Linked DNA regions of Neodiprion lecontei. The protein of the gene in region 2 purifies or fractionates together with the protein of the main gene of each other region. This does not show direct contact. Links are inferred from orthologs where the notes say so. Each region holds a gene or a part of one and is shown on either strand. Other genes may lie near its edges.

Evidence for each region.
Region 1: the proteins of U3 small nucleolar ribonucleoprotein protein IMP3 (region 2) and U3 small nucleolar RNA-associated protein 25 homolog purify together in Homo sapiens (affinity purification with mass spectrometry; 3 studies listed by BioGRID and IntAct, with this or other methods). This does not show direct contact. The link is inferred for Neodiprion lecontei from reciprocal best matches to the Homo sapiens genes IMP3 and UTP25.
Region 3: the proteins of U3 small nucleolar ribonucleoprotein protein IMP3 (region 2) and U3 small nucleolar ribonucleoprotein protein MPP10 purify together in Homo sapiens (affinity purification with mass spectrometry; 4 studies listed by BioGRID and IntAct, with this or other methods). This does not show direct contact. The link is inferred for Neodiprion lecontei from reciprocal best matches to the Homo sapiens genes IMP3 and MPHOSPH10.

What each region holds. Positions count from the first base shown.
Region 1 is NC_060266.1:559,186-570,152, forward strand, and holds U3 small nucleolar RNA-associated protein 25 homolog, read right to left. Parts: upstream 7,188-10,967; 5' UTR 6,898-7,187; coding exon 4,594-6,897; 3' UTR 4,148-4,593; downstream 1-4,147. Other genes in the region: uncharacterized protein LOC107216915, read left to right, coding at 104-114, 303-449, 798-1,435, 1,817-2,061, 2,497-2,638, 2,786-2,963, 3,038-3,571, 3,690-3,837; WD repeat-containing protein 20, read left to right, coding at 7,860-8,129, 8,570-8,764, 9,383-10,864. UniProt on the Homo sapiens protein: Component of the ribosomal small subunit processome for the biogenesis of ribosomes, functions in pre-ribosomal RNA (pre-rRNA) processing. Essential for embryonic development in part through the regulation of p53 pathway.
Region 2 is NC_060262.1:32,034,309-32,044,585, reverse strand, and holds U3 small nucleolar ribonucleoprotein protein IMP3, read right to left. Parts: upstream 6,166-10,277; 5' UTR 6,045-6,165; coding exon 5,908-6,044; intron 5,750-5,907; coding exon 5,435-5,749; exon of another isoform or gene 5,004-5,434; coding exon 4,931-5,003; exon of another isoform or gene 4,771-4,930; coding exon 4,747-4,770; 3' UTR 4,720-4,746; downstream 1-4,719. Other genes in the region: uncharacterized protein LOC124293362, read left to right, coding at 1,961-3,147, 3,264-4,719; parafibromin, read left to right, coding at 6,371-6,501, 7,492-8,765, 8,968-9,109, 9,706-9,742. UniProt on the Homo sapiens protein: Component of the 60-80S U3 small nucleolar ribonucleoprotein (U3 snoRNP). Required for the early cleavages during pre-18S ribosomal RNA processing. Part of the small subunit (SSU) processome, first precursor of the small eukaryotic ribosomal subunit.
Region 3 is NC_060262.1:22,090,508-22,102,122, reverse strand, and holds U3 small nucleolar ribonucleoprotein protein MPP10, read right to left. Parts: upstream 6,940-11,615; 5' UTR 6,783-6,939; coding exon 6,706-6,782; intron 6,289-6,705; coding exon 4,941-6,288; intron 4,823-4,940; coding exon 4,714-4,822; intron 4,628-4,713; coding exon 4,254-4,627; 3' UTR 3,643-4,253; downstream 1-3,642. Other genes in the region: aryl hydrocarbon receptor nuclear translocator homolog, read left to right, coding at 11-205, 1,131-1,289, 1,356-1,664, 1,789-1,970, 2,054-2,201, 2,974-3,200. UniProt on the Homo sapiens protein: Component of the 60-80S U3 small nucleolar ribonucleoprotein (U3 snoRNP). Required for the early cleavages during pre-18S ribosomal RNA processing. Part of the small subunit (SSU) processome, first precursor of the small eukaryotic ribosomal subunit.

The DNA.
Region 1 (10,967 bases), on a different chromosome or scaffold from region 2:
CTGTTCTGCTCGTAGCTGAGGAAAAAGAAGGATTCGTTGGAACACTCTTTCGGTTGTACAATCTGCAAGAATATTTTTTTAATCGTGTGCAGTTATCGTCAAAATGGACCCGAGGTGTGTAGTCGGTACCCAGATATTTGTTTGTTGAAAATATATTTTATAGTCAGTCTAGAATAGAATTGTAATGTAAACGTTGGTACGAAGAGTGCCAGGCTTGAATAATCTTAACGGTTGCCTCATGTGTGCATTAAATTGTAAAATATCGGAATAATCGCGATAAGTGAATCGTTTCTTTGTTACAGTCAGCCAGGGCCCATCCACATACTCAATCTTCCGCAGGAAGTACTCGTGAACATTTTTCTCTGTTTTAATGCCAGAGAACGTCTAGAAGTCGCGAGGACTTGCACAGTATTTAGACATATTATACACCGTGATCCGGACGTATTGAGGTCAGTCTACTGTAGTGTGCCTGTGACAAAATTAATTATTTGCGTTCGCAGTACCTCGTTTGTTCGTTTCTAAGAAAAAAGTAGTTACAACAAGATTCAGTAGGTACCTACTGCCGCATCTGGTGATAGAGGACCGGAATGGTGCTGAAACGTTTTCACAAGTTGGGAGAGTTGGCAGAGTTTGTGCGATTCTGATTATGTTTCTTATTTTTTTTAAATATTTAAATTTTTTTTTTTTTTTATGTGAAACCATTCACCTTTTACAACGCATGACCAAAACTTTGTGCAGTGATGGATCTCGTCCATTTTTCCCCATCCTAATTTCGACTCGAATTTCAATGTATACAGGAATTTGGATTTTACCCCAAATGGATGGGTGACACAATTAAAAGAAATCAAGACATATTTTGTCAGTGAATACAGGATGCCGCATATCCGTAAAGTGAATATAAGTAACGCAACGTGCATGAAGCCGGGAAGGATGTTGAACAGGACGGTTGGCAGGGCATTGAATCTTGTCGATGTTAATATACACGGAATTATATTCGAGAATGTTGGAATTTTGGCATCTTTTCTTGCGCCCCTGCTACAACTTAGAAGGCTGGTTGTGGATTGGCCCGAGCCGGATGAAGATGTTTACAGGACCATTGATGTTATAGGAGGACCGTTAGGCAGGCTCAATTATTTAGGAGTAAGATTGAGCGTTTATAACACGAATTTACTTCCTGCTGTGCGATGCAGCTGTAGTGAGCTAGTGGAGTTCCGTATAGTCGAACTGACACGACAGGAGCGTGACGACATACTAGATATTCCGTGGGCTGAGGAGCGCCCAAATAGACTGCAGAAGCTTAGAATTGTTCAAGCTCAGGGATGGAAAGCGTGTACCACAATGAAGAGTAATATTTTTCATATGATTCCGGATTTACATCAGTGGACAGATTTTCAAGCGATTGGTAGTGCTGTTGCATTCAAAGGATTCTATCTTGGTATGTTTTCATAAACATTATTTTTTTATTTTTATAACAATCAGTCTGAAGAAAAGGACTGTCATTGTCGCTTTTAGTGACCCCTTCCATGTCCAAATATTGATATATAATTTGACATTCACGGGAATGTTCTGATGATTCACAGTTTTTGCAAATAAGGCTTTTGTCAATCGAAGACTTTCAAATTTTACAATTTGTGTACTGGAAATTTTCAAGCAGGACGTGAATTTTTTACGATACATCAAATGTCACTCACAGACGCTACGTGCTGACTGGTGCTGACTCTAAAAAGATGATTGCATCTGGTTGGAAAGAAAGGAAGCATAATTCTTGAAATATCACAATCGACTCGCGAACATAAGTTTCAACTTGTGATTTCAGAAAAAAATGTCGAAATTTGTCCTGTACTAGTAAGAACGCGAATACCACACGAGGCTCCGTATCACCATTTTCCTGATGTTATTCCGATTGTATGGTCTGTGCTTTCGGAATCCTTGTTGGAACAAGTGATAAGAATGAACCACGAAGACGTGCCGTTGGAATTCTGTTGTTTACGAAGAACAGGCTTAGGTGCATCAGCAAACGCCAGTAACTGGCCATTCATATTGAACATTAAAGAGGCAAAGGTAGAATCGTATGACGGGACATTACGTGGATGTGCACCATAGGAACCACTCTGACAATCGACGTGTGTACGCATACCCCGGATTGCCTGTAATTAGGAGTCCTTATGTTGCGCATTCACGCAATGTCCCGGTACGTTAATAGTCGTAGTATTTATTCCCCGCTCAACAGTGATGTTTAATTTTTTTTTTTTTTTTTTTTACCTGAATAGCGGGATGAGAGTAGCCTATTATTCACTCTCAACTGTTCTCCCCCAATCTGCGGGAAATATGAGATCATAACAATTTTTCAGTTTTCTCTGCTTTTCTTCATCTCTCTTAATCTCCAACTTTATTCCCTTGTTACGTAACGTACAATTAGATACTTTAAAGACAAGCGAAAAATAAGTTACCAATTAAATCGAGTTACAACGTTAATTAATGTCATCGATGTTTCAGCGGCTGCTGAAAGATCCCGAGTATCCGATAACTTTTTTGTACTTGGACCATCAGATTGATCCGTATTGCGATGCGCATTTAGTGGTATCGGCATTCCCAAGCTTGACAGATCTTATTTTAATTCGAATGATAACAGCAAACGGTAAAATGGAATTTCATATTCATGAACCACGTACATGTGTTTGTGCTAACTGGATTTCCGCAATCGACGTTAAATCGCGGAGTTAGATCATCAATTCATCCAAGTAGCGATGATACATGTATATATTAAAACTCATTATGCTTGCAGAGATTAGAGAAGCAGAGCACAGAAGTAGGCTACCCTTGAGAAGATCTCTCATCAGGCGAGTTCCTGGCGTACCTTTCGGGTTTGTGGATGACCCGATGGGCAACACGGATGGTTCTTTTAAACTTCTAGTGGAAAACACTCCGCTACTTCGGGATTTAACGATTTATTATTCGAGAGTGTGAGAACCAATCTCCGATACCTTACGCGTGTCTAATACGGATTACGAATCGAACAATATTTACATTATTTCAGCCCCGAAGAGCCGGACCCCGACTTTTGGGACTTGAGTGCTCTGAACTACATTCCAGAATGGCGGCATCTCACAGCCTTACGTTTGGCCTTCGTACCCACCATAGATGGAATAATTTTTCTCAGTATCGGAAGACAATGTCCAAACCTGGAGATAGTAGTGTTAGTCGGTCTGGCACAAGCGAGCAACACCACAACCTACGTAACAAATCTTTCGATAATGCTAAGGCAGTGTAGTAAAATAAAGCAATTCTCACTCGAAGAAGAGGACGTAACCGAAGCGATGTACCCGGTTATGCCGGGTGAAGAACCTGATTCGTTTCAATCGCTTGAATTGTTCGACGCTCTTGCCTGCAATGTAAAGCTCGAAATGGTTCATGTATCGCTTTACGAAAGAGGAATAGAACTCTTCGATTTGGTCGTAGCGATGGAAAACCTATTGAAGGTTTGCACGAGGTTGAATATATTAAAGTATCTCAACGTTTATATAGGAAATAATCCATCCGATGCGAATTACGTGATCAATGAGTTATGCAGGTAAAAATAATAAGTTTGTCATTGTTTTTGTATCGTAGAATTATTGCTTCGTTTTTTTTAAATTTCATATCTTCGCTCGGTTTATCGGCGGATAAATATATATTTTTGTTTGTCGCAGAATAAGGAATGAAGTCAGGCGTCCGGAATTGCAGTTCGCAATAAATTATGGAGTTTGTTATGCGCGCCCAGACGCTGAACCTATCGTTGAACCAAGACTTCCGGACATTATTTTTGAAGAGTGCCCACGTATACTTACTAAATCTTGAAGATCACGTGTGGGGAAATCCCTAATTTATAACTAACTAATTTATTCCTTCAAAAATATACCACACACAATATATATTATATAATGTACTATAAGTATAATACTGTTTGTCTTATATTTTGTTCACAAACCCATAGGTATGTTCGATAAATTTTATTTTTAATCAATAAACATAATACTGCTGTTTCAGGTATTACCTAGATACATAATTTTCGGTACAATATTGCAAAATCGCAGGATTTCTAAAGATTTCGCATACTAAATAATTTCTCCTGATTGCTCTATACACATATCACTTGCCATTTTCTTACGCACGTGCTTTGAGCCCGCGCCACGTTTTTTTTTTTTATCCGCTACGTGAACCGATCGACTCCTTTTAGCAATTGGAAAGATCAAGACTCTCATTTTTCAATAAACACTGGAATGTAAAAAAATGTGGCTAAACCGGCACCGCAAATAATTCGAAGACCTAACAATAAGTCATCAAATCCCCTTTCTTCAGTCTAACAGGAGTATTATTATTTTCAGTGAATTTCTGGAATCAGATTAATCATTTATTTACTTTCGTTGGAGATTTCGGTTCAAATCTGGTGCTCGTCGACGTAAGCTAAAAATCAGTCACCCAGCTTTTTCATCGGATTTTATCGCCAACTGTGGAACGTTTATTACCAAATGTATACGTACTACATACATAATATGATTTTACAAATGCAGCAGGGACAATTTCGATACCGGACAAATACTTTTTCACTCGTCGTCAGTCGCCGGTCATAAACATGTGGACGTCTTGCCCCGAACTAATCATTTTCGTCGTCCTTTCGGTGCCGACGATACCTGCGAGCTTCAACGCGTCGTATTTCGAGTATACCAACGTTACGGTCATGTTGCTGTCCGAGCCTGCGTTCGGATTCTGATTCGCTTTCTGCATTAGGTTGCAAATTTCGCTGTAAAAGTGAGGGAACGTCGGCGGTGCGAAGAATATGAGGTGCCTTATACCCTTGAGGCGTATCCTACGGAAGAAATGGAATCGCTCGGAGTAAATGAGGAAATGCGCGTCGCTGTGGTAAAACATGTCCCTCGCCCTGGCCACCTTTGCATCCTTCGAATACTCGCAGATCTGAACGAAGCTGAGCTCCTCTTTCTTGAAGTAGTTGCGAACTTTCACGAAGTCAAAATAGGACGGCACGTAGATAACGGTGTGATTCATTATGCTGTCCTTGTACTGGGGGAGAATCTTCGAGACGAAGAAAGTGAACCTGGCCTCTATGTCGTGGCCGTGGTCTCGGGAATCGAACCTGTGAAACACCTGGGGCACTTGAATCACCGTTTGGCAAACGGTCCCGGAAGTCACCGGGTTCACGACCCTCGCTTTTCCCGCGTAGTTGAAGCACCGCTTGTTGAATATCGCGTGTATCTCGGGTAACGGAACGCCGGAGAATATCAGCGTCTGCCGATAGAACTTGGACCAGCCGTTCACCACCCAGCTGCGAACGCGAGAGAAATCCGTCCCGTGGGATTCCTTTGGCTGCAGATGTGCGTGGTCGAGGACGTGCAGCAGGTGGTCCCAATTCTGCATCGCGAACACCTCCGTCTGGTCCATCACGAGCAACTCCACGGAAGCAAGGAAATCGTAATCTCTGTCGGGTTCGCCCTCGGCGCCGACGAGCATTCGGAGTCCCAGGACGGACGAAATGATTATGTCGGACGAGTAAAAGTCCGAATAGAGTTTCAACGTTTTCTTCGTCACGGATATGCCGATTTTAAAGGTATCGTCGACGTTTCCTTCGAACGTTTGCTCGTAATCTTCGGGCTTGGGATTTTTCCTCGGCATAGCGAGTTCGTTGCCACTGAAATCCTCCATGAATCGAAGTTTGTTCACCACGGACCCACCCTTGTCTTCCCCGATTAAAATCGCGATCAGTAGCCGAACGATTTTTAAACACGAGTGCCTGAAAGGGACTATTATAAGAACCTTCGGCCTGACCAAACCCTGATCCCGATATTCATCCGGTGTATCCGCTATCCCTGACTTCTTGGCTTTTGTCAGTTTCGCATTGTGATGCAAGACCTTGGTTCTGGTTTTTAAAACGTGATTAACCGCGTGCAAGCAATAAAGAAATCTAATTTGTTCGCCATTGGCGAAATTTCGCTCGTTGTAGCACAGATCTTGATAATTGTTAATTATGGTGAACAATTCTTTTTGCAACGGGGTTAAGGGACTAGGCTTAGACGCCAGACTGTCTTTAATATTATCGTAGTTTGCCTTGGAGATATTGCCTTGAATTTGTGACTTGATGAATAACTTGTCCCAGTCAACGTCGTCTATGACTTGCGGAACAGCTCCGTGTCTGGCAAATTGCTTGTCTTCCAATATCGAGACCTTGGGTCGTTTTCTAACAGGCTTAGAAAACTCATCCTCAACCTCTGGGATTTGAAACACAACGGTTCCGAGAGCGGGCCACTTCGATCTACTGGTGGCAGCCTTCTGAGGAGTTAGGGAAACGGATTTGTACAAGTCGTCGTCCAAATCGTTGAGCAGATGAATTGAAAACGGATCTCTGAGCTTCCCAGCATCTTCGCGCGCAGTCTCTTGATCCTCTTCCTCTTCCTCCCTCAAATTTATCTCGACATGTTCAGCGTCGCTAGCCTCGGAAGTGACGTGATCTACGCCCGAGTTTTTCGTCTTGAAAAGATTTTCTTCTTCGACGGAAGATTTCACCTCGGCTTCGTCGTCAGGCTCGGATTCAGACTCTGACTCACAATCGGAGTCAATGACAGGTTGCCTCTTAGTTTCAGCACCACCGATAGCTGAAAGCAACATTTTTAACGGATCCTCTCGTTCCTCTTCCGAACTCTCAGCCTCAAGTTCCAACTGTTTGCTCCTCTCCGCCTCTAATTTTCGCCTCCTATTTTCAATCTCTTCGTTCTTGGCATCACGTTCCTTGACATACGAGGCTTCCCTGATATTGAATTTACATTTTTTCACCTTAGGCTTATGCTCGAAACGTTTATCAAATTTTCGTCGATTCCCTCCGCGAGTCGGTTTTTTCCCACGAACCATTGTCAACCGTCCCACTTTCAATATCGCCAGCAATAATTCAATTCAAATGAACACGGCCTATCGACAACCAAAAACTGAACGCTTGCATTGGCAAGCACATGGTTTTCAGGTTAGGTTCCGTTGAGACAGCAGCACTGCGAACGAGGCGGCGGAGAAGGTTGGCACCAATGGATACCAAACATAGCAGACGACAAAGAGCGGGGAGCGTCGCCTTATTTGAAAACGAAATTGACACAGCGTATACGTTGCGGCATCTCCTCGAATGCACAGCGATCTCCGCGAAGCGAGGAAAGATTCGAGAATTTCACGGAGAATGATCCTTGTAAAAGTTATTGACGGAGCTGGTCTTGTCGATTGATGAATCGGACGAAACAGTTTTTTCCGAGCAGCTGCGATATTCCTGTCGACTAGGATGCGGCCAGAAGGAGGTGGTCGGTCATTACGAAACGGGCGAGTGGTACGATCAGTATCGTTCGAGCGACAGCGGCTGCTCGTTGACGCGACGAGGGACGGTTAAACGGTCGTCAACATGTGTGACAGGAAGAAGGAAGGAGCGATTAAATCAATTAGTAATTCAACCATCTGTTGAGAAAATATCCGGTTGCAGAGCGATATTATGTAGGATTGCCCGGTGTTGGCAGAGTGTCGGTCGGCTGGGGTGTGCGCGCGCACCAACAACACTGGAGCGAGCCGCGACGATCAGCTCGCAGACAATTTCGCTGCGGGTTCGGATCTTGTACTCGGGACTCGGCGATTCCGCGATATTGCATGGTGGTGGTGGTGATGGTGATGGTGGTGGTGGTGGTGTTGTTAAGAAAACAGTAACCACACTCTCGTCGTCGTTCGATCGAAGAGCCGGGATTGGTATAATCGCGGATCAATCGACGGTTAACTAAAATAGGAAAGGAAACACCCATTTCCTCGATTCTCATGAACTCCACCGTCGTTTCTCTAGTGGTAAGATGGCGGTGCAGCTCGATGGAGGGGGGAAGGACGACTTGAAAACACAATTTGTCACGCGAGAAGGAACGTACAAACTGATGACCCTCTCGGAGTACTCCCGACCTAACAGGGTGGGCTACACCAACAGCCAGGGCAGCGCCTCGGTCAGGGTGTCCTTCGTCACATTGCCCGATCCAGCCGATCCCACGGGAGCCCAGGGCCTCGGCGACCGCATGTGCTTCAACTTTGGCAAAGAATTATACGTATACGTTTACCGTGGCGTCAAGAAGGTACCTCCTCTTCTGCCACCTCGTTAAACCTGCCCTATTATCCCTGCGACTCTTTCGGCGCTAACTTAACGATACATAACCTCAAACAGCCCCCCTCCCCCCTCCGCCTCGTCGTTCCGACTCCATCTTCGCAACCACCACCACCACAACTCTCCAACCTCGTCATATTCTTCGCATTTCTACTTCACTTCGACTTTATCTATGTTACATTTACATTTACGTTCACTTTTAGTTCATCCTATGCTTTGTTGGCCTGTGTTATGCTGGTGAAAAAATTGATCAATGATAACACTAATAGAAACATGCAAACTTTTGTCAGGTTTCCTAATCTTGGCACACAGCTACGATTGCTTGGTTCTGAAATACAAATTCATTTTATAAGAGCTTAGGAACCGTTTTCTGAATAATTCTCATTCAAAATCTATCTCAAAGTATAATAGCAACTGTTTCAGGCTGTGGATCTCAACAAACCTGTTGACAAAAAGCTCTACAAAGGAACAAATCCAACCTGCCATAACTTCAACCAAACTACAGCCACTGCAGACAGCGCGCCACTGCTCGTCGGATTTTCCACAGGACAGATTCAGCTCATAGATCCAATTAAAAAGGAGCTTAGCAAACTTTACAATGAAGAGGTATGCATAACAGATCAATTCAAATCAAAAGCAAAAATCCATCCTATCCTGATGAGCAATATTCATTTCAATAACTGGGCAGCCAAAGCTAGGCACATTCTACGAGTAAAGGCTAGCTAAGGGCTCTTTGTCAGGCTTATTGCTGATTGCTGAATGACTGAGATACAGCACCGTTATTTTGCCGGCACGTGATAACCAGGCAATTAGCAACAGACACGTAATATGCTATCTGTCGCGACAAGTGAGAGTTTTTTTTGCTTTATTATCTGCCACAGATGGCTCCGCGTAACCCTACATCATTCAAGGTTGGCAGTACTGTTGTAACGCAACTATAACTTGATGAAATAATTAAACAGGCATTACATACTGTGTTATGCAATACTCCGCTTATCTCTCCGATCACTGACAATGCGCCAAGATACTAAGATCTCTGCGTATATTAAAGCTGTAATCTATTCGTATTTATTAGCTATGTTGTTATTCTCTACCAGTTGTAAAACCCTTTGACGAATAGATATGGCAAGGACTCGAGTTATTTAATTTACTGGGAAGATGTTGACATTAGTTGAAAGATAAACGCGACAAAGAATAATCAGCAACTGATGTTTGTAATTTCAGAGGCTAATCGACAAGAGTAAAGTGACCTGCATCAAATGGGTTCCGGGATCGAGCAATCTATTCCTGGTTTCGCATAGCTCTGGCCAACTGTACCTGTACAACGAAGAGCTGCTTTGTGGAACGACACCGCCTCATTATCAGCCGTTCAAATCAGGGGATGGCTATGCGATTCACACATGCAAAACAAAGTCCACAAGAAACCCCCTGTACCGATGGGTGATCGGCGCTGAGGGATGCTGTATAAATGAATTTGCATTCAGTCCCTGTGGCTCTAATTTGGCTGTGGTATCCCAGGATGGCTTCCTACGAGTTTTTCACTACGATACGATGGAACTAGTGGGATCGGCGAGGAGCTACTTTGGAGGATTCTTGTGCGTCTGTTGGTCACCGGATGGACGATACGTCGTAGTAGGAGGAGAAGATGATCTGGTGACGATATGGAGCTTCAATGAGAAAAGAGTCGTGGCCAGGGGCCAGGGTCATCACAGTTGGGTCAGTGTGGTCGCGTTCGATCCCTACACAACGTCCTACGGGGATCACGATCCAGATTTCAGTGGTTCCGACGACGAATCCATGCCTCACACTAATCACAATAATCACTTTCATGAGAAGCCCAACAGATTGTCGACAGTCTCCCAAGGTATTCATTCCAATAGAAATTCGTGCGGGTCGGAGCTAAGGGTGTCCGGAGGAACCTGCTACAGGCTGGGAAGTGTCTCCCAGGACACTCAACTCTGTCTATGGGATATAACCGAAGACGTTCTTCGGCCGCCAGTCAGTGCCAAGCAAAGGACGTCGACCGCAGGTTCGGGGACATTTTCGTCATCGGGAACATTTACAAGCGGGAATGGAGCAACGTCCAATCATAATTCCAACAATGCCAAGCATAACAATTTGAATAATATAGGTTTTAAAGAGAGCGCGAGTGGTAACAATGAAAGTAGTAATAATAGTATTAGCACCAATGCGGCAGTGTCTACCGTGAATTCATTGACTCAAAGGCTGGCGGGCTTGGGTTTCGGGGAGAGGAAAGGTGACAATCACAAAAGAAACTTTAGCCTAACGATGAGAGGAAGTGGAACGAGCAACAACGCGATACAAAATAATAGTGGGGAGAAATCTGGTAGTAACTCAAATTCTAGTAATTCAAACAGTGTTGGCGGGGGTCTAGGTACGAATAAAAAGTCCGGCGGTACGATGGACGATCCTATGAGATTGATAGGGACCGCCTGGTGTCCACGTTTCGACGAGTGCCCTGTTCTAGAACCATTGGTGTGCAAGAAACTGGCCCACGAGAGGCTGACTGAATTAGTGTTTAGAGAAGATTGTTTCGTGACAGCATGTCAGGACGGGTATGTCTACACGTGGGCGAGACCTGGCCACATGGTAGGTCCTCTGACGATAAGCAGCACCCTCCACAGGCCCCATCACCACACCAATCCTCATACCAACGCCAATTCTAATCGACCAAATGATCTCTGATGTAACCCATCTTTTATTGTTATTAAAACTCTATCGAATCGAGTTTATTAACTAATTATTAATCAATTAATTTGTATATACTAGAGATAGCTCAGGTCCGTAA
Region 2 (10,277 bases):
AAATGACTTATGTAATTTCAATGTCAGATAATTGAGTTTTGCTGCGAACTTGAACACCAAGTAAGCTAGTTCATTTTGGTTCTGCATTATTTTTGGTTGCAAGCAACCCAGGTACTATAGGTTTTCTTTTTCTTTGTTTTTCCAATAGCGAAAATTGATAATACGCAACGATACCACATTATTTTATCTTTTCAGTAATCGACAACGTTTGTCTCCATCTCGACCTCACCATTCTAATACTGATCCCATATATACGAAATATTATAACAATGAATAAAAATCAACTTAATAATTTTCCATTATAGTATATATGAATAATGGTTCGTTTTTTTTTCGCAGAAATACTCGGCACAATTATCGTAATTATGTTTTACGTTCATCAGTCTTTTAAGTAGAAACATAAGTTGTACGCTTCGAAATTAAAGTGAAGAAATTTTTACATGAAAATTAAGTAACCTTGCACAGTTTAAAATTCAAATTCGCCATTGGCGTAGCCATGTAGGATGTTGAAATGTTCCGACCAATAAACGGTCACCGTTGACCGAAATCTGTGCAGCGTTACGAAACTGATCAACAGTAGCGAAGAAATTTGGATTCTGTTAGGTTTCTCTCTGTATTCAGTATAGTCAGTACGGAACCTGTCCCAAATAGTTTAAATCACGGGTGGTCAGAAATGGCAAACCCTAAATATGAATTGACGATAACCTGTAAATCACCGCGATCGCCACAATCGACTGGGAAAATAAGTAAGGAAACTGGGGATGCACGTGAAAATATCAAAAGTATGAATTCAAACATTTTTGATGAATTTGAATATGGGAATGAAAGCAATTGTATTAATTCGAACATAAGAAATGATAGTTTCGCCACTACAAAAGTAACACTGAAGAATACTGTTGACCAGATACTCATAGATGACCCAGCTCAGATTATGGAAGTAAATGAGAGTTTTGATTTGAATTCAGGGATCCAAGGAAGCTTGTGCTCTCAATGCAAATTCACGAATAGACTTAATAGCTATATTGAACGCGCTATTAATAGTTCGGTTGAAATGGAAAAGGAGTTTCAAGAATACTTTGCCATGTCCGAAACTAGCAGCTTCTCACCTGCGATGAATGGAACCGTAGACTTATCCGAATCTGTGTGTGATGATAAAACTAAAAGTGTAACAGGGTATATTTCCCCGAATATTTTAAATTCATCATATCATAGTATTGGCTTACAGAATTCTTCATTTACACCTAATTTGTTATTAGAATCAAATCGACCACAAATTTCTGAACAGTATTTAAATGAAACGGAAAAGACAGCACTGGAACTTGATCAATCCTTGACCAAAAATTCTGTTGAGATTTGCAATGGGAAGTCAAGCAAGGACCAATTTACATGTAAACGATCTCTTACTATGTCATGGAATTCTGAAACTTGTTTGGTAGAGTTTATTTCATCAAAGAAGACTCATTTCCACAGTTTAAGAAAGTTTAAATCCGAAGATAACATCCTAGTGAAGCTTACAGGAAGTAAGAGTGATAGCAGAAACAAATTTTCTGTTCTACCTGACAAATTTATGTCAAATTTGATGGAAGGGTTTGGACTGATACCCTTCATCAAAGGCAACCATTCTCCAGAGATTATAAAATGTAACGAAAATGTCAGTAATGCTCTTACTTTGAGGCAGTCAAAAAACAAATGTCTTGATGACTGGAATAACGATAAAGTAAACACAGAAAATTCACAACAGTTTTCTGTGCTACTTCAAACTGACTTTGAAAAATTAGAAGACATAAAACAAGGAGAGATGGGTATGGACCTTGAACAAACGTACAGGACAAGTAAAAGCATTTCGTTTGAAAGTAGTGATATTTTCTTAGAACAATTAACACCATCACAAAATCTGAATGTACAAGATACTCCCACAGAAGATAGCAGTTCTACATTTAATCAAAGTACAATTGAAGAAATGTATTTCATGGATTCTAATGATAATATTAACTGCTCAAGCACTAATGAAAAATTCCAAATATTGCCTCAGCACGAGACTAATGGAAATGATTCACTCCAATGCACACTCAATGACAAAATGATAAGAGATACAAGCACTACAGAAAAGTTGGTTGATTTGAATCTCCAACAACTTGCCAACTCAACTACTCAACCGATTCACGAAGAATCAAAAAAGAACAATATCACTGTTAACAGAGACTCAGGCAGCATCGTTGCCACGATTGATTCAAAAACTGGATATAATGAGATGCAAAGTTCATCCACCGATACTACACTAAAATCCGACGCACATTTGTCTGTCATACAGTTGAAGGTTATGCGGAACGAAGAAGAAACGACAGTGAAGGCCATCAATCTTGTTAATCCTATCGATGATCCAGGGAAAAGTTCTGAATCGCTAAGGGATCAACAGCTCGGAAATGAAAAGGGTTTGGAAATTTCAAGTAACTCCTTCTTAGAACTTTCGATAGAATCACAGATGGATACCATACGAGAAAAAGACACACTTAGAAAGAAAGAAATCGTTCCTATTCATATAAATAATAGTATCACGAGTTTCACAACTTCACAGAATTTGAGTGTGGAAAATGTAGAAACAAGAAACAGGCAACTAGCTGTTTTAAATACAGTTAATATTAATGCTGATGGAGAAACAATAAATTTACCAGATAATGTGAATACAGAATTTATGATTAGGGAAAAGTTGAATAGGGTTGAAAAGGAAGATGAAAGGACATTAGAAAAGAGGATGCTTTCCAACTTGACCAACAATCTCTTTCCAAATGTTGATTCGCCAAAAGATGAGAATATTGGGAATACAAACCGTCAGACATCTCCAGGCGATTTTAGTTTGGATATGCTGTCTGAGTCACAACTGCAAACAATTGAAACAGAAGCTTATGTAAAAGCAGAAAAAATAGATGTCCAATTAAAGAAAGCAACAACCGAAGGCGGTGTAAACAAACAGAATATATTCTTCAAACCTGAACAGACAGGTATTATTACTACGGATAAGAACGATCTGGTACTGCCCAATTGGGTGACAAATCGTGCTCCTGAGCCAGACTATGATAAAATGAGATGTGCCTTTCAGAACAGACGACAGTACGTGAAAATACTACTTCAGGAAATACTCAGACTTAGGTGCGCAGCATATTTTAGTTTTCCTACATATCATGCAGACAAAGATCGATAGTTCAATAAATTACGTTGTCACATTGATCATGATTGTAAACTCATCGCATCATTATCATTTTCAGTACGATAGTTTCCAAGGTAGGGGCTGTGCTTCGTGCAGAGCATGCAGAAAACAACTTGAAGCCACATGTGGACAGTGTTGATGAAGCAACTATTTGTGAGACTCTTAGTAATACTAAAACCAATGTTCAGACTTCTAATAATGCAGTGAAAGACCTTAAAAATAAGAACATATTTTACGTACCGCCGTCGAATATGCCATTTCCAAATATCCCTCAAGATTTTCCTAACAACATAAATAATCCGCCTAATAGTACTGGAGCTTCCATGAACACGGTAACACTTGAAAATAGTGTATACACTGATATAACAACAGATCTTAAACGTGAAAAATTTTATGTACCTACGACAAATAAATCGAAGTACGATACCCTTCCAGCTGTGAATCAACAAATGGATACAAAGTTTAAGGATGGTCAAATTACTGAAGCATTTGTGCGTCACAATGCCTCGAATATGTTTGGCTCCCTGAAGCAAATTTCGAATAATCATAAAACTTATAAACCAGATGTCAGGAGTATATGGCACTCCTCTGGCCAAGAAAGTGGTTCCATTCCGGAAATATCGTTCAGCAGAAACAAGGTTCCGAAAAACAATCAAACAGTTCGACAACAAATTGCTGCAGGATATGAAATGCCACAGTCAAATTTAAATGCTTCAATTTTTAGCAATAATATGGTAGCCAAAAATGTTGAAGAAGGAAAAAGTAACATATGTGACTTGGATCATTCAAAACTGGCTAATAAAAACACAATTTTTTACGTACCCGATGAAGGGTCATCAGTGTCAGGTGATTACGTTGGATTAGGCAGTATAAAAAATGATCCAAGTCGCTCTTATAAGTTTTCAATGCCATCGAAATCGCAAACTAGATCAAATGAAAATTCAAAACTATTGGTCAATGATATATTAGCCATGAACACACAAAAAGCACAATCTAACAGAAAAAATCTAGAAAATTTGCAGCTCACTGTTAAAAACGACATTTTTTATTCACCTGATGAATCATCAGTGTCAAACAATACATTATTTACAAGTAAATTCGCAGAATCAAGTGGTACAAAAAGCGACCAAAATTTTTTTTATTATGCAAACTTTCCAATGCCTTCTTCATCCCATCCAAGACCAGATCAACACCTTATGTGTAATGTGGTAATCTCAAACAAGTTGAAGAGAAAAAGTAACATTCATGATGCGAACAATGCAAAGCGTGCTCGTGAAAATACCACTTTTTATTCGCCGGAGAAATTGTCAATACCGTCAAAAGATTTATTCTCAACAAGTGATTACATGGAAATACGCGATACAACAAATCCGAGCATTTCTTCACGTAATTGTTCACTGCCTTCATCCCACGTGAAACTAGGGAGACCACTACGACTGTTGAATAATACTGCAGTTTTTTACAACGGTAATAAAGATCAGGAAACTGGTTTCAGAAAACTATATCGCCATTGATTGTTCTGCGGCATTTCATCAGAATGTTCATATACCCTCAAAGTCATCTTTCTGAAACAGTACAGCACATGCAATTGATTAGATAAATGATTGTCACAAATTGTAACGAAATATGTTGAAAAATGTTGTGTATTAGAACATTTTCTTAGATTTTGCAACACAAAGTGTAACAAACGACATATTATTACTTGCTCCAGAACATGACACCTACCATTTCATTGTATTCCAATACATGTTTCCTTATTGCTGAAGTATCAACCCATGTCACAAAGTCTTCCAAGTTTCTGGAAATCGAAAATTATTACGATTAGCATTTTAGGGATGTCAATTTCAGATAGTTAGCAAAATTTAAAAATTGGTAGATACTTGTACCAGTTAATTTTATTTGGTCTTATTATTTACAGATTAAAACTAAATTTACTGTTTAATATCAAACTGAATAATTACTTTACGTCTCTCAAATGTCATATAGAATAAGGATTATTGTCTAGTTCTAAGATCTTTAATGTGAACCAGGAAAAACTGTAAAGTATTCACAGAAATATCTTTCAAGTTACTCTGGTAAGTTATAACTGATATAGAATATGTATTATTTATTAACTCTACCGTCAACTACCCTAAGTAAATTAGAAAAGTATATCATTATATTTTTAAAAATAATGCCAATTTGTTTTGATTAAATTAGGATATTAATGATTTAAAAAAAAGTATATACCTTGTTACAAGAAATGCTGGGTCCTTAATGACTTCAGGTCCAACTCGTACATGAGCTTGTTCGATTAGCTTTGTCGCCATTTTAATGGTTTCACTCATTTTATTACGAACCATAACGACAGGTAATCTTCTTCTACAAAAACAGCTGGCTGTAACTTTCTCGCACAGAGATAAATCCCACTTAGTGGAAATGAGACCCATCATATACAATTTCTCCAGCAACATGGCACTTTGTTCTATTCTGAATGGATGTTCAGCATCTACTTCCTTGATCTTTCTAGCCAGTTCTCGAATTTGTCGTGATAATTTGTTGTATCTGAAATAAAGTAGTTGTTATACGTACACATAAGTTAAAAATTAGAAACATAACGAACAGTTTTAAGGAAACAGTAGCTTAGGTGATGTCAATATCTCTGAGAGAAATGTATCGAATATTTCGATCATGTGGAGGTTATACTGAAAATGACAACTCACTTCGTATAATCTTCTCTTTTTTGGATTCGGTATTTTTTCAAAATTTTAATCTCGTGCAAGTTATTGTCTACCTCCCAAGAAATAAAGTCTACTTTTTTCAGTAACTTCTTCTCGTGATGTTTCAATTTTCGAACCATCTTTCGAATTCAAAAATGTCACGACTTACACGAACACGTGTGTTTTGTCGACACGCGAGTCTGGTTTTCAGCGGAAAGCAATGGGTGCGTTCGACTTGGGCGCTTACGGCTTCAGGCTTCAGCACATATATAAATATACATATAAATGCTATAGGATATGGCGCTCACAGCGCTCAATGCAGAGTGCTCAATGTGGCTCAAAGCGACCCAGTCGAACGTACCCAAAGTCGGCCTGTACAACCTCAGTACTCTCTGCTCAGTAGAAGCGTGCGTGGACGGTGGTGGACGGTGGGAACTGCGGAACGAAACCGTCACGGTAAACAACCATGGCGGATCCGTTGAGTTTGCTTCGCCAATTCAACGTAAATAAAAAGGAAATTATTGAACGTGAAAACCAAATTATATTTGGTGAATTCTCATGGCCAAAAAATGTCAAGACAAACTATTTGACATACGGGTAAGGATCTCATCCAAAAAATCTCATTATATTTCTTATACTACTTTCCAATCTGGGCAAACTACAACCAAAAATCAGGCTCGTCGTTTTGCTTTTTTTGGCACAAAGATTATTTAAGTTTTCATATTGCATTCATGTGTAGCTGACTGAAATCAGTGTTATACAATCCTTATTCTTCACCGATATTTTAAGAACTGGTTACTTCAGTGGCGGATGAAATTCAACGCGGGCCATTTCTCAACAAATTTGTACACGTATAATAAGGTGAAGTCTTTTCGTGTGATGCAAACACGCTCTGATACATTGAGTAAATGTAGCAAACAAACGCAGTAAAGTTTACGTGCTTCCTCCTATTTATTATGAAGATTTTCTTTTTGTACATCGACGTAGCTGTCGCTGTATTTTGGAATTTACGAACGAATCAAATGTGAAATTTCTACGGAGATACGATAAGATTTTCTGCTGTTCACAAATTTCAAACTTGATTTCTACTAGCATTCAGATATCATACATTGTTGATGAATGTTCAAGTGTAATCCACGATGTGAAAAAAGAGGTATCATTATACCTTCTCACATACTTTTTCTCCAGCGAATCGCAAAATAAACAAAACATGTTTATTAAATTTATTATTGCATAATCATAGATTTGAACACTATGAAATGTAAAATGAAGCTGTAAACAATTACCTACATTTATAATTATCCAAAACAATTGCGCAATGTTTATATCTCGATTTCACTCGCATCAAACGAGTCAGCGAGACATGAAACTTCAGTGACATAACGAAACGCAAATAAGAAATATAAGATAATAGCTTGATCGTTGTCAAAATGTGAAATGTCATGAATTTAATTTTTTTTATATTACAAAGTGGTAAGATTTCAATTGCATGTTAGTTTTTGGGTTTGTCTACGAATCGACATATATTTTGTAGTCCTTGTAATTGTTTGGTTGTGAAATTTTCAGTTTTCTGCTTACATTTTGCAGATCCGGAAAGGAAGGCACACCTAAGGAGTACTATACTCTTGAATGCCTTTTGTTTTTATTGAAACATGTTCAACTCACGCATCCAGTGTATGTGCGGCAAGCCGCCGCAGAGAATATACCTGTGGTGCGCCGTCCGGACAGAAAAGATCTGCTGGCTTACCTTAATGGTGAAACAGCCACCTCAGCCTCCATAGATAAATCAGCTCCATTGGAAATACCAACACAAGTAAAACGAACTGCCGAAGATGGGCTAGATGCGGGACTTTCTAAGAAGCCACGTTTTGAAGAGACACATGTTCAGAAGGTGAAGGAACAATTGGCAGCGCGACTGGATGCGCCAAAAGAAGCTTCTGTCACAGTCGACAATATCAAATCTCTTTCAGAGGCAATGTCTGTTGAGAAAATTGCTGCAATCAAAGCTAAACGTTTGGCAAAAAAGCGTACTACAATCAAGGAAAATGACGACATTGGTATGGGTTCGGATTTGCGTGTTATACTAGACATGGATGTCGATGATACTAAGGACATCGTATCTAGAGAAAGACAGTGGAGAACTAGAGCAACGATACTTCAAAGTGCAGGTAAAATGTTTGCCAAGAACATATTTGCCATACTTCAAAGTATCAAAGCCAGAGAAGAAGGCAGGATGCAAAAAGGGCCTGCAATACCCGCACCAATGGTTACGCCAAGGTCTACACCTATGCGCCCATTGCCACAACCAGCAGTTTACAATCGTTATGACCAGGAAAGATTTATTCGTCAAAAAGAAGAAACTGAGGGATTTAAAATCGACACAATGGGGACTTATCATGGTATGACGCTAAAATCTGTGACTGAAGGTACCAATCCCGCAATAAGAAAGCCCACAGTCAATCCTGCTGCTACACCAAGCTCCGGATTACTTCCTGCATCTGCTGCAAAACTGACTCCACAACAAGCAGCTCAGAATAAAAGACCAAGTAGAACACCCATAATAATTATACCCAGTGCAACTACATCTCTTATAACGATGTACAATGCCAAAGAAGTATTGCAAGAATTGAAGTATGTTAGCAACGAGGAAAAGCGAGCACAAGGTGGTAAAAGGGAGAATGAGATTCTTCTTCAGCGAAGAAAAGATGGTGGTCTCACTGTTCCTTATAGAGTTGTTGATAATCCCCAAAAGTTGACAAATGCAGACTGGGAGAGAGTCGTTGCGGTGTTTGTTATGGGTCCTGCATGGCAGTTCAAAGGTTGGCCTTACGACGGAAATCCTGTCGAGATATTTTCAAAAAGTAAGACAATTCAATATATCTACATTACTGGTCAATGTCACTTGGATACGTGACAGATCCTGTAGTTTTATTCTGTAATTAAGTTTTTGTCACCCAAACTTTTTTTCATTTGGTGGTTGGAGAATTCAAATAGTTTTTATATTATTGCTTTTCATAAAAATGCCTGATCAAGTTTTATATGTTTTTACTAATATGATTTCAGTTTGTGCCTTTCATTTGAAATACGATGAAATGAAGCTAGATGCAAATGTTGCCAAGTGGGCAGTAACTGTTGTGGAACTGAGTCGCACCAAGAGGCATTTAGATAGAGCAGCATTGATGGTCTTCTGGGAGCAATTGGACAAGTAAGATCAATTTATGTACAAAATAGCGAAGTTCATAACTTTTTGCGATTAAAGAATATCAATAATTCCGACGGTTATTGTTTTTTTTTTTTTTTTTTTATTTGCCTAATTTTTCTGTAAGGAAAAAAGCTGTCTTAGCATTCAGATCATTTTTACATTTATTTGAAATATGTTACAGCATGTGTGTTGTCAAACTTCCGTGTTCTTCCAAAGTTTTATTATTATTACTATTATTATTATTAATCCTATTCTATTGTCAAATATCAGCCAGCAATTTTCTCTAAAGTTGTATGTATGAGGACCAGTTTTACCAACTTTGTTTAAACATCGAACTTCACTTGCATAGTGGTTTAATTGACTTGACAGTTGAGCAGTGTAGTTTAGTAATAGATAATAGTTTGGAGGAATGAACGGATTAGAAAAGGCATAGAGCAGCTAACTTTTTTTCACCAACTTTTTGTATACCAAGAGAGAACTAGAAGTAGATCAAATTCCGAGCGTAAGATTTCTGGTCTCCAATAGGTAAAAAGACCTCTAAGCTGTTGACTTTCTAATTTATGATATACGGTGTCATAATGGTTTTATTTCTGTTTCAGGCATATGATCAAGAATAAACCACATCTGCGATTTTAATAACTGAACATGAATCGTGCTCTAAGCAGCTTGTAATATATAGATGACACAATCATCCACACAGCATACGCATGCACGTATATTAAGTTTGTATATCATGACTAATACGGTTTATAATCGTTAAAAAAAAGAGAATAGCATTATCAAGTGTAAATATTGGTATAAAAATGAATAAAATGAGTACATGAATATTATGTGGAAATATAGATTGAAAAAATGGAAATATTATATGTTTATAAATAGTACGGTTGTGTATAACGATAAATATTCAGTTATTTGCAGTGGTGATGATTTTTTTTATTCGGAAAAATTTTCTTTTCCATGATAAAACGTGAATGTTTTCATACTTCCGAATGGTTAGTTTCCGGCTAAGCATGTGGTGTGAGGTCTCAGCCCGTGGTCTCAATATGTCTGCCATTTTTTCCTCCTATCCCCCTCCGGCCAGCCGCTGTGTTTTCGTTTACGCGTGGCTTACGCCTATGTATGTTATGTAGGTACGTATCTACATGCCTACTTTACAAGATTTATTGGATCG
Region 3 (11,615 bases), about 9.9 Mb from region 2:
TAAATCGTAGGTGATTTTGTTTCCCCGTGTGTACCAGGTGTGGGTATAGGTGACAGGGGTCAGGGTGGGGGAGTTCCAGGGGCACCTGATGGAGTCGTTGGTGACGACAGCGGCTCGTCACACTGCTGCTTAGTAGCCATCGGACGTCTTCAGGTCACAAGCACACCAAATACCAGTGATTTAACTGGTTCAAACAGTAACAATGGTGAGATGCTACTTTATCTTGTTTAAATAACATTAACACACTGAAGGAATGCTTATCTGTTTCTTTAAAATCACAGAAGTAGAAAAAATCTATTTAAGATATTAATCCCCATCATATAGACTATAAAAAAGTCTCAATCAGTACGGACTGGGTGAGGAATACTCGGTAAAACTTCAGTCATTTAGATCGTTTGGCTTGAATTGGTCAGTTGAAACTGTTCTCTTTTTTTTCTCACAACATATCTTTTCAAAGTGCTCTTTCCACACAGGCTTATCGTATTGTAAGCATTTATAACGCGTTTTATGGTCGGGAGAAGAAGGGCACAAGTTGCATCATTTGGTTTTCGCTATCTTATTATCGGCCAATTCATGCTGGATATCCTATTCCTCTGGCATATCACTAGGCTTTAAAACATCCTCAATTGAATTTCGCAATTTGAGATGTCGAGTGGGTATAACCAGTCTCCTAACTAAGGTTTTACAAGTTTTAATGATAGTTCTTTGATAAATTTGTTTCTTTGTATGGCTGTTTTTTTCATTCAAATTACATGAAATGAAACTATTTACACTAGCTTGATCCAGCATACCATACAACATTCTTACAGGCCATCTAAACGATTTCTTAGCCGTTTTATACTGATGGCATTTCTGGTCAAAACTATCAATGCATTTCGAAATGACGATGCATTTTTAGAAAAAATCGTTATCTCCCAACTTTAGTATAGTTAGATATGCAGTAAGCCATAATAATGCCAGATATCTTCATGCTTTGCAAACTAAACTGCTTTAAAGTCATTCTGGAGTTGCGAAATAGAGATTTGTTTTTTCAATATTTCATTGTGTCAACATTAATACCTTCGATATCGTTGGAAACTTCAATCGCTAAAACTGACTGTCATCCAATGGTGAATTTCTCTGTACTACAGAATTCATCTCCCGTCATTCAGCTGAAGGAAAATTCACTTTTGTCGATCAGAGGGTCGGTGGAATCCTGGGATACACGCCATCTGAGCTCCTCGGACATCCCTGCTACGATTTTTTTCACCCTGAAGACCTGACGCACATGAGGGAAAGCTTTGAGCAAGGTAAATAAAACTTAGGAAAAAAATGGTCGAAACTTTTTGTTGACCGTGTTTTTTCTTATATCACAGTACTGAAACTAAAGGGCCAAGTTATGTCGGTGATGTATCGATTTCGGGCGAAAAATCGGGACTGGGTTTGGCTCAGAACGTCCGCCTTTGCGTTTCTCAACCCTTACACGGATGAAGTCGAGTACATAGTCTGCACGAACACAACGGCCAAATCCTTGCACCCTGGTGGTGAGGGACAAACCGAAGGAGAGAATGTCTCTGGTTATGGACAACCTAGTCTTGACTACAGCGTCCACAGACATCCTGCCAGAGAGGCTATTTACCCAGCCCATCAAATGATGCAGCATCCTGCGACAGTTGCTACTGCAGGTATGGTATCTTATAACTTGATTTTCCACCTGTCATGAAATTCTTTGTCAAGTGCCGCAAAACCTGAATGTCGCCAAACGAATTTTGACCAAGTTATCACTTCATCTCGGTCACCTACTTACAGGACCCCAACAAGCAAGACCATCCAGTGCTCAAAACGTTTACCAGGGATATGAAACGACCCAGTCACCAATAGCCTATGGATCCCCCGGTCAGCAGAGCACCTCCTCCTCGGTTCTAAATCGTATACCAAAACCGGCAAACACATCGCCGACTCCCGTTCAGCAAGCCTGGACACTCAGACAGGTAAATATCAACGGTGCAATTATTGTTCCGCATCAGGTCCTGTCAGGAATTGTCTCATTCAATGCCACCCTATTCTTTTATAGCAACAACCTGTCACCGAAGGCTACCAGTATAACCACCAGTTAAGTCCGTCGAGATCTCCAAGTGGTCCAACTTATACTCAGCTTAGTAGTGGAGCTCGAACACCTGCGGCGTCTTACCACGCGGTTACAACAGTTCCGAACAATCCGGGTAAGTCAACGTGTGGTAGGGTTAATGATTAAATTTATTCGATTAACAGGGCTTATACCAGTAGGTGCCTAAAAAAGTGAGTGAATTCTAAGAATTTATATCTTGACAATCAATCATTCAATTCGATTGGGGATCGTTTTATTCAAGAGTATGCAGGTTGAGCTTCATTTAAATACAATTTTTATTAGAATCAATTATTAGGAACTATTGTTATTGACAATAACGTCAACTCTTTCGCTCATTGACACCTTTTGTGGTCCTCACGATAGCTCAAAAATGGCTCAACCAATTTACTTCAACTTGGAGCTGACATTCTTGGACAGTTTATTCTTTTCGCCACAATCCTATTTCTTTCTATCATCATATTATTATGTTAACTAAACTTAAAAAGAGTGGTAAATTTTTTTTTGTGAAAAATTATATTCCAACTTTAAACGTTTCTTGTTCCGTTGAGAACAAAAAATTTTGGATTCCGGAAGAGAAGATAAACTCGCCGCGAAAACTCTCCAAATTTGAGGTACCAAAACTACCACTGAGCGAAATGTTTGAATTTAGTATCAATAACAATGCTTTCTGTTAATAGATCATAATTAAAAAAAAGACCTCAATGAATCTCGATCTACATACTTTTAAATTACATAAACCATGATCAAATTGAAAATCGATAGCAGAAATTTGAATTCTCGAAATTCCCCCGCTTTTTGAGCCGTTTACTCGTATACGTAGGTATACCCCCCCAGCAATTGATTTTTTTATTTGATCATCATTTTAGGCATGTGGGGCTGGCAAGGCCAGCAGCATCAAGGGCCGCATCAAGCACAGCAGGACGGTGGACAGGCGGGTGCACCGGTCGCTAATCAAGGCCAGGGTCCTCACCCCTCGCAAGGAGGTCCAGGAGCGCAGCCTCAGGAGTTATCGGACATGTTACAGATGTTACAGGACCAAGGCGGAGCCCCTGGTTTTGAGGAGCTCAATATGTTCAATACTAATTTCGAGTAGGAAGGGGGGCAGGGGAAATCTTGGTGGTAGAAAAATAACTAATTAATATAACTATTATTGATATTGTATTTTTCCACCTTCGATATTAATCCCTTTTATTGATATTTTTACTCAGCCCTTACCATCCTTCCTGATCTTAATACTTTCAATTTAGAAAAGAAACAAAGTAAATAAAATTTAACAAAATTAAGCGAAGTCAAATAAGGATAGTTAATACGCAGAATTTCCAATTTCTACTTGGAATGGTATTTTAAATATATTTAATTATGTACATTTTATGATCAACTTTGAATCATTGATCGATCCATGTTCCATATACTTATTTGCCAGTGTTCTGGAGAAATTCATTGCAAAAGTGGAAAACTATTTAAAATGAAGAGGAAAAAAATGAAAACTACAAGGAGTTGACAAAAAAAATATTGAAATATTTTTCAAACTTTTCAGAATAGTTACGAATAAGAAATTAAAACTTTTCGACTGCAAGCTTTCATCGTAGATATATATGATAAGGAGTAGCTTAATGAAATTGTTTTTTCATATATTTGTAAACCGTGCAATTACTATAATGTTTTTGATGACAGATATTAGACAAAGACACGACCGTGACAATGTACAAAATTATATAACTCACTCGAAGCTGCTTGTTATTTACAAAATGATGTCATTAATGGATATCAATTTTCTAAGTAATATTTTTTCTTAGATATTAGTAATAACATAGCACATAATTAAATAATTGTAATTATAATAAGACTATCACTTGTGAATTGTTGCATTTGTATATGTTTAGCAATATTTTAGATTGAAAGCAAGAGAGAGATTGAGAAATAACAAAAAAAAGTTTTAAAAAACAAAAAAAAAACCATAGCATATCATAATCGTGAGAAAACGGAAACACTTTTTCACTAATATATGGGGAATACTATACGGAGAAAACTCGTGTTTTAAATTTCATTTATTAATAATAATAATGATGAATACCTCTAATTGTAACTAACGTACTTTAAAAAAATAGTAGAAGAGGAAATTGTTTTAATTATCGACTATACAAGTTCAGAGTTTTAATTTCACCGCGGATAATGCCTTCTTGTCTTTCTTCTTCCGCACATTGCCGTCTTTCGATTTTATATGAAAATTGACTTGATCCTGAAGCTGATCAAAGAATGCTGTGGAAGACTTTGCCGTCTTTCCACTCGTTTCATCTATCTTTGAAATATTACGCTCCTTACTCAAACTGTCAATCATCTTTGCTGCTTTTTCCTTACTGTACTTATTTCCAAGACCAGGTTTCAATTTCCCAACAATCTTTTCCCGCTTTTCTTTAGCTTTCTCTCTGTCTCGTTGATTCAACTTCTTTTGACGCCTTTCACGTTTCATGTCCGTCTCAGTTCTCTCGGCTCTGCCGATCAGGTCGCCACGCGATTTTGCTGTAATGAAACGGAATTGAATAATTTGTAATAGCGAACTTTTTCTGTATTCAGATAGATACTGATTGCTGTATTATATGGTTTACCTTTTATTTCTTCTGGTGCCAATAAAGTTGCATCACTTGTGGCTATCGGAGCTACTTCCTCCATCGTTACAGCAGGAAGGTTGCTAACGATTTTGACGTCAGGCCTGGCCTAAAATAAAATGCGAAAACCATTATCGATACATTATGAATTTGTGAATTCTAATCTGTCTCATTTCGGATCTAACTAGAATTAACAGATGCTGCATCAAGAGAAACTGATGGCTTACCAATTTTGGAGTGTAATGAAAATTGGAAAGAGCGTCAAGTTTGCTGAACAAAGAATGCATCATATTACGAATTTCAATGTGTTCTTTAGGTTCCTCAGTTTCTCGTTCCTCGTTGTCAGGGTTCAACGCTTCCTTTTGTTTCAAGTATTCATTTTCATAAATCTGTGCCAGACTAAGTTTGCTCTTCTCCTGGTCTAACACCAGCTTTTTTTTATATTCCATTGGGGTTTCAACAGGTTTAAATTTCTTCTCAACATCGTCCCAAGCTTTGTCTTTTATTCTCTGCTTTATTATATCCTCTAACTTCAATGTTGTTTCTTCAGTGATCACAGGAGCTGGTCTGGAAGTTATGTCAAACTCAACGTGCTCCTGCAGCAGTGAATCCTGTGGCCTAGATGCAGCATCAACTTCACCCTTTAATTGCCAAGGTTTTTCTGAAATTGCTGCTTCTTCCAATTCCTCTATTTTTCTTCGCAGTCTTTCTTGACGTGTTTCTAGGCTGGATTTTATCTCTGTAGTTCCTTCCTTTTTAGATTCATCTTCCTCTGAACTACTTGAAGCCGATTGATCATTGACACTGAATTTAACGCGTTTCTTATGAGGTTCTGTTGTTTCTTCTTCATCTACAGATAGGTTGGTATCGTTCTCAGATTCTTCATTAAAATGATTGCTCTCAGTCTCAGAGTTTGATTCATCGTTGCTCTGTGGTTGATCAAAGAAATCTTTAAACTTTACTAGTCTTGGGTCAGTTTCGTTGTCTTCGCTTCCATTATCAGAAACATATTCAAATAAGTCGACAGACTCCTCATCGGCATCATCACTGTCTTCTTCATTCGACTTCCCTTTTTGCATTTCTCTTTTATCTTCTTTCGTGAGGTACTCATCCAATTCTTGGAGTTTGAAGAATTTATCATCTACTATCGAGGGCGGTGTTTTTCTTTTGGCCACTCTTTTCGATTTCTTCTTCCTCATCTGCTTCCCCAGTCCTTCTATGTCTAAATTACTTAAGTCGCCGTCACTTAGGTCTGAATCGTAGGAAGATACCTGTTCGCCATCCAAAGATTGATCGAGGCCTGATTTATCATTGCTTTGTTGTTCATCACTCCTCGTTAGCTTGACAGGTAGTTTCAGTCTCTTACCCGCAATCAACGATCTAGAGACTCCTGTCAGAATATGAGGCAATTCTCCTTCATTCTGGAGTTCTAGCTGTTGCCATATTTGCTCAGTATCAAAACCCTCTGTGATTAGCTCTGGCAACGCCTCCGTCATGCGACCAGATTCTTCCTTAGTAAAATCATAAAGGGATTTTATCGTGTGACGGAATTCCAACGATGCACCTGCCTGTATGCTACAAAGATGAAAATTATCGGTGTTAATTGAGCCGAACAATGAAAGGTAATCACTGGCTGCATAAATTATTTGATAAAAATCGTAAGATGAAGATTTTCTTTCTAAATGAATATATTTTACATCTACTTCAATTTCATGGGACTGAAGTTAGTAATGGATAAGTAACGCAACGTTAAAAGAAAAATCGTTTTACAACTTTAAAATGAGTTTGAAAAGTTTCAGATTATAAAATCTGAGTATGCCGACGGTGTTTCAGTGTTCACTGAATTTCAAACAAACCGGGTTTTGCTAGAAGTAGAAGTACAACTTGAAAATAACGTTGAGAACTGCAGCCTCATTCAATTTTAACGTACTCCAGTCGAAATAATTATTGGACCTGTAAAACTACGGTTGTTGGAAATGAATTAGAATTAACCTCAAATAATTTTCAGTTTTCTTGGTGTTTGCTTCTACGACGTTGATGATGTCGTGGAAAACCCTCGAGCTCTTCATGATCGGTGAATAATTCTATACAATAGATAACTTAAACTGCAATAGTTTTTGAATTAAAAGACATTGTCACAACCATGTGGCATTCGAACTACGATTCGAACCTTTAAGAATGCTAGCCACATGCATTCACACTATGCATACTATGGGCATTGGTCAGGACAGGGGACGAATCACAGACTTTATACGTTGACTGAAGATATACAAAGACTGATAACCCTGGGTTATTTTTCGTAACAGTTTGTCGGGTCTGGCCGGTTTGGAGGTATTAGCAGATTCCCGTATTATCAACCAAGCAACTGAACACGCCCATAAACGAAGTTCATAACCAACAACAATCGTGTGCAAAACATTGATAACATACCGTTGACATGGTGAAATTGCAAAGTTGAGAAAATCCCGTTCAAGACATATGTGTGCCGAAATTATACAACGGAAAAATAAATGTCAATCAAGGACATGAACGTGTATCATTTATATTTACATGAATACATCAAATCTTTTGCGGGCGACAGTATCATCTCTAAGACGCTCAATTCATTTTTTCAAAGTTTTTTACGTAGTATTTTGGAAGAATATTGAAATGCTCTATTTTTAGTTCCAACCATTTGAAGAATGTTTCTATAAAGAATTTTTGTTTGCTTTGATGAGCACTTTTAAGATTACGATTTGAAGAAATTCGATATCTCAAGTTTTGAAAATATCCGAAAAATTCTGAAACACTTTTTTCTTTGCTAGAAGCACGTTGAAGATATGTAGAAGAATGAGCCTATTTTATGAGTTTTTCCCAAAATTTGTAAACGATAATTGGGTTTTAATTAAGAAAAATTCCGCAAGTTCTTGAATAAATATAAAAATTAATAATGGAAATGAATCTATCATGAGATTCATTGCAAATTAAGTGGAATGAAGAATAAAATATTTGCGGATTTATTTTAAATTCTGATGAGGTTTTAAAATTGTCTTTCAGTCATACACCTTTTTAGAAATGTGACGAAACAAAAAATTTATTTTATCTTCTGTATAATATTGACTTATCAAACCATATTTTTTTTCTCAATTGTTGAAATGCTAAATATTGATTATTGTCAATTCGTAGTTCTTTGAAGCGCTAAAAAAATTGGGAATATCTCTTTCTTTCAGAGCAAATTTTGAAATGTTCTGAATGCCATAAATAACATTATTGAAATATCAACGGTTGTTTTTCAATAAGTGGTTTTCAAGGGTAATGATCCGATGACTTTCAAATCATTAAATCCTGTTACCAACGCAACATTATTCGTAAAGTCAATTTTTATCCTGTCGGCTATACGTACTGCCGTTATCAAAAGATACTCATACTTATAATCTACTGCTATTCCGCATCAAAGGAAGTTGAAGCACGTATAGTTAAACCTTGCACCACTGCACATTTATTTCATTTTAAGAAGTGAGAATTGACTATATAATTGTTACGTTTCCAAAAGGTGGAGTTAAAAATGTTGAAAAGGTTGATCAAAGAGATACTTGATTTGTAGCCACCTACAATGAAGAGAGTACCGAAACCGGTAATCGATGGTAGTATAGCTAGAAGATAACTCGAAAATTTCCTTGCGCGTATTTATAATTGAACATGCAGATAACTTTGTCCCAAACCATAATCATCCTTGTCAATGGAAAATATTTTTTTGGAATATTTAGAGTTAGAAAGTGCGCGACGTGGATTTTTATTATTATATGTATAGGGGTATCAGCCTAAAACTCGAATTGAATTATGAATTCATTTGTTTATTTATTTATTGATAAATTTATATCTTTTACGGGATAAAATTCATTTTTACATAGAAAATACAGATTAGCGTTGATAGGCAAGCCAGTATCTACTTGTATGAAGAAGTAAAGTATCAATTCTGAATTGTTTTTTATTTCTTGATTCATAAAATTAGATTTGTGATTATTTTTTTGTACTCCAAGAAATTGAAGTGGGAATTATTTTTTATTTCTTAATTCGAAAAATTATACTGGGAATTTGTTTTCACTCTCGTGATTCGAAACGATGAATAAAGAATCAGTTCTTTATTTCGATAATTGGAATAATTTAATTGAGAATTAATTCATCTTCTTCAATGAGCAAATTCGTATTATTGCAATTACTTTCAATTTCTCAATTCAAAAACTCGAATTGAGAATTTTTGTGAAAAATTTAATTTTAGTAGCGTAATTAAAAATGAGTGCTGTCAATTGTGATTTTTAGTTTGAAACTAAAATATGTCCGACACTGCTACATTGTATTACATAATTGTGTGGAAAAATGTGCATGCGGCGGGTTGCAAGCCGGTGTGTTTACCGGTCCAAGGATAGTGAGTGGGGTGAGATTGCGATCGAGCGTCTGTGCTGCTGGGCGTCCTAAGAAAAGGAGACTCGCGTAAATACTACGCAAAGGACGCCGCTTCACGATGTGTTTATCTCGTTCATTTTTGATTACGAAAAGTCCCATAAGACTATCAGTCTTTACATATCTTCAGTCAACGCCGTAAGTGGTCGGAGAAGTGATACTTCGCCTGACGGCGCACGTTACGGCAGTCTTGTAAACATTAGATCGCGTTGCGCGTAGCTTGCGTGGTGTTTACACCCGGCCGTGAGACTATGGATATATAAAATAGAGCGTAAGCAACGGCGTGAGCGTCCCGTGAACAGATTTGAATCGATTCTCTAAAGGATAGAAGATAATAATTCTCCCCCCCTCTCTGTCGCTCTTCCGTGATCGTCGTGCGCGGGTTGGGGAACGGGAGAGGAAAAACAGCTAGGTGGCGGGTGCAACTACCCCCACTCCACGGGAAGATCAGGAGAGAGGGCGGGAGCGCCGAGCAGAATCAGTCGTCTCCGAGCAATCGAACTGAGATCATCCGTCCTCGGCATCAGTTCAACATTCCGACCGGTGGTTCAAGTGCATTTCCAACATACTTGTCTGTGAACAATACACGAGGAGCCGTGTATAACCTAACAAAAAACCGAGTTACTAAAGTAAAAACATCCTGCGAACATTGAAGGTGAATTTTGTGTCCCGAGTTTTCATTGTTTGTTGTGTAACTTCAGATTTTAGTGATGTGTGTTTTGTCTCTGTGCGTCGTGTGTCAATTTTAATATTTTTATGGCTTATTTTCGGCAAATGCGCTATTGCATTGTTAGCAAGATTATTCACTCGGTTCAAACAGACAGCTGTAGCACAAAAACTGAGTGTAGAATCCGAGTGTTATTGCGGTGCGGACTTTTGAACTATAAGAGACTAGTGAAGATGTGAATGATGTGAAAAGTGCGTCGCTTCACCGATAAACCTGAGATGCTGCAACTACTGCATGTGAAAGTGTGGAACAGCCCACAGTCGAGGTAACAATACTTATTTTAATTATTGATTGATAGTTCACGGTGGTCATTTAAAGCCGAACGAATTCGTAAATATGAAACAAGACATCAGTAATAATTAATTTGAAAACTGAAAAGCCAATTTCCTAAATTAATTCAAGTGTCGTGTTTTGTTTTTCACAGATTTAAGCAGAGACTTCCGAGTAACTTTTCCATTTCTCGGCAACGTTGGTGAGTTTGCATGTGTTAGGTTACGGGTATTTCCCTGGGATTCCTTTGTCACGTGGCGTGGCGGTAACAATTGTCACACAAATCTTCGATTTCTTAGCTACATGGATAGGCTCATTCACAATCGCAACGTGCTTGACTTTCAGTGGAATCATCATTTCTCGCAATGCAATTTAGCGTAGCTTACTTCAAATTAGAAATTTTACACGTTGCTAAAAGTGGAATGAGCATCGCGACAGGCAACCATCGCTTACTCGGCACTCGCGAGATCGAATTGTGTTTCGTAACTGATGTAATAATCTACGTTTGAATTTACCGATGATGCCGTTTAAGTGGTGGGTTCACCTGAGGTTTCAAAAGTATTCAATTATCCACATTATTGTTAAATTTCAAAATCAATTTGCATCTTATATATCATTTTCAATCTTTTAACAGCCAACAAGTATTGATCAACTGCAGGCTTAGCTCGCTTAGAAAAATGCTAATTAGAATTCAGGATGTTTTAATCAATTTTACCAAAGGTTAATGTACCGATAGTCTGCCAACATTTACTAAAATAACAAATGCAATATTAGAGTTGGCGGGATACAACCGCGATACTGTATTCTGAGTAGGCAGACTACGATACAAAAACATTTTGCTCCCAACAGGTAACCAATGAAAATGTAAGTCAGTGACCACGGCGCAAATGATGAAGAATGATGTGTGTTGGAAAAAATGGAGAATCGTTTAGGTCGAATATAGGTAACCGGGTAGGTAGGTGGACGTTTTGGGATCCGTCGCGGGGTTTATGCATGAGTGTGTGAATCTCTCTTTTCCGTTGGGTGGGTTCGTTGGGAAACAGGCGAGGTTAGGAAGGTCGCGATGTACCGTGATGCTACTAACTTTTGTAATCCACAGCGTCAAACGATCACAGACATTTTCCCAAAAGACTCCACATTCGAGTCTGTCGACCATTTGTAAACATTTGAGTATTAACGAGATTAAATTTCCCACTTCTTGTCACTTTGCAACGATTTTTCAATCGTTATCCAATTCGATTATTTAGTCATCACCGATCGTTATTCCATTCGATTAATCTCTGTGATCGTCTGAATGGGCAAAACGCATCTCTGGACCATTTATCGCGTTCCGTGGTACGCTAGATGGGGAGAGATGCTGAGCTCGAAGACTTCGCGTCGAAGAGGACCGCCGACCGTCACGCCACACAATAATGCATGCCCTCCAACCTCCCTCCCAATTTCAATTTGATTTGTAATCTGAGAA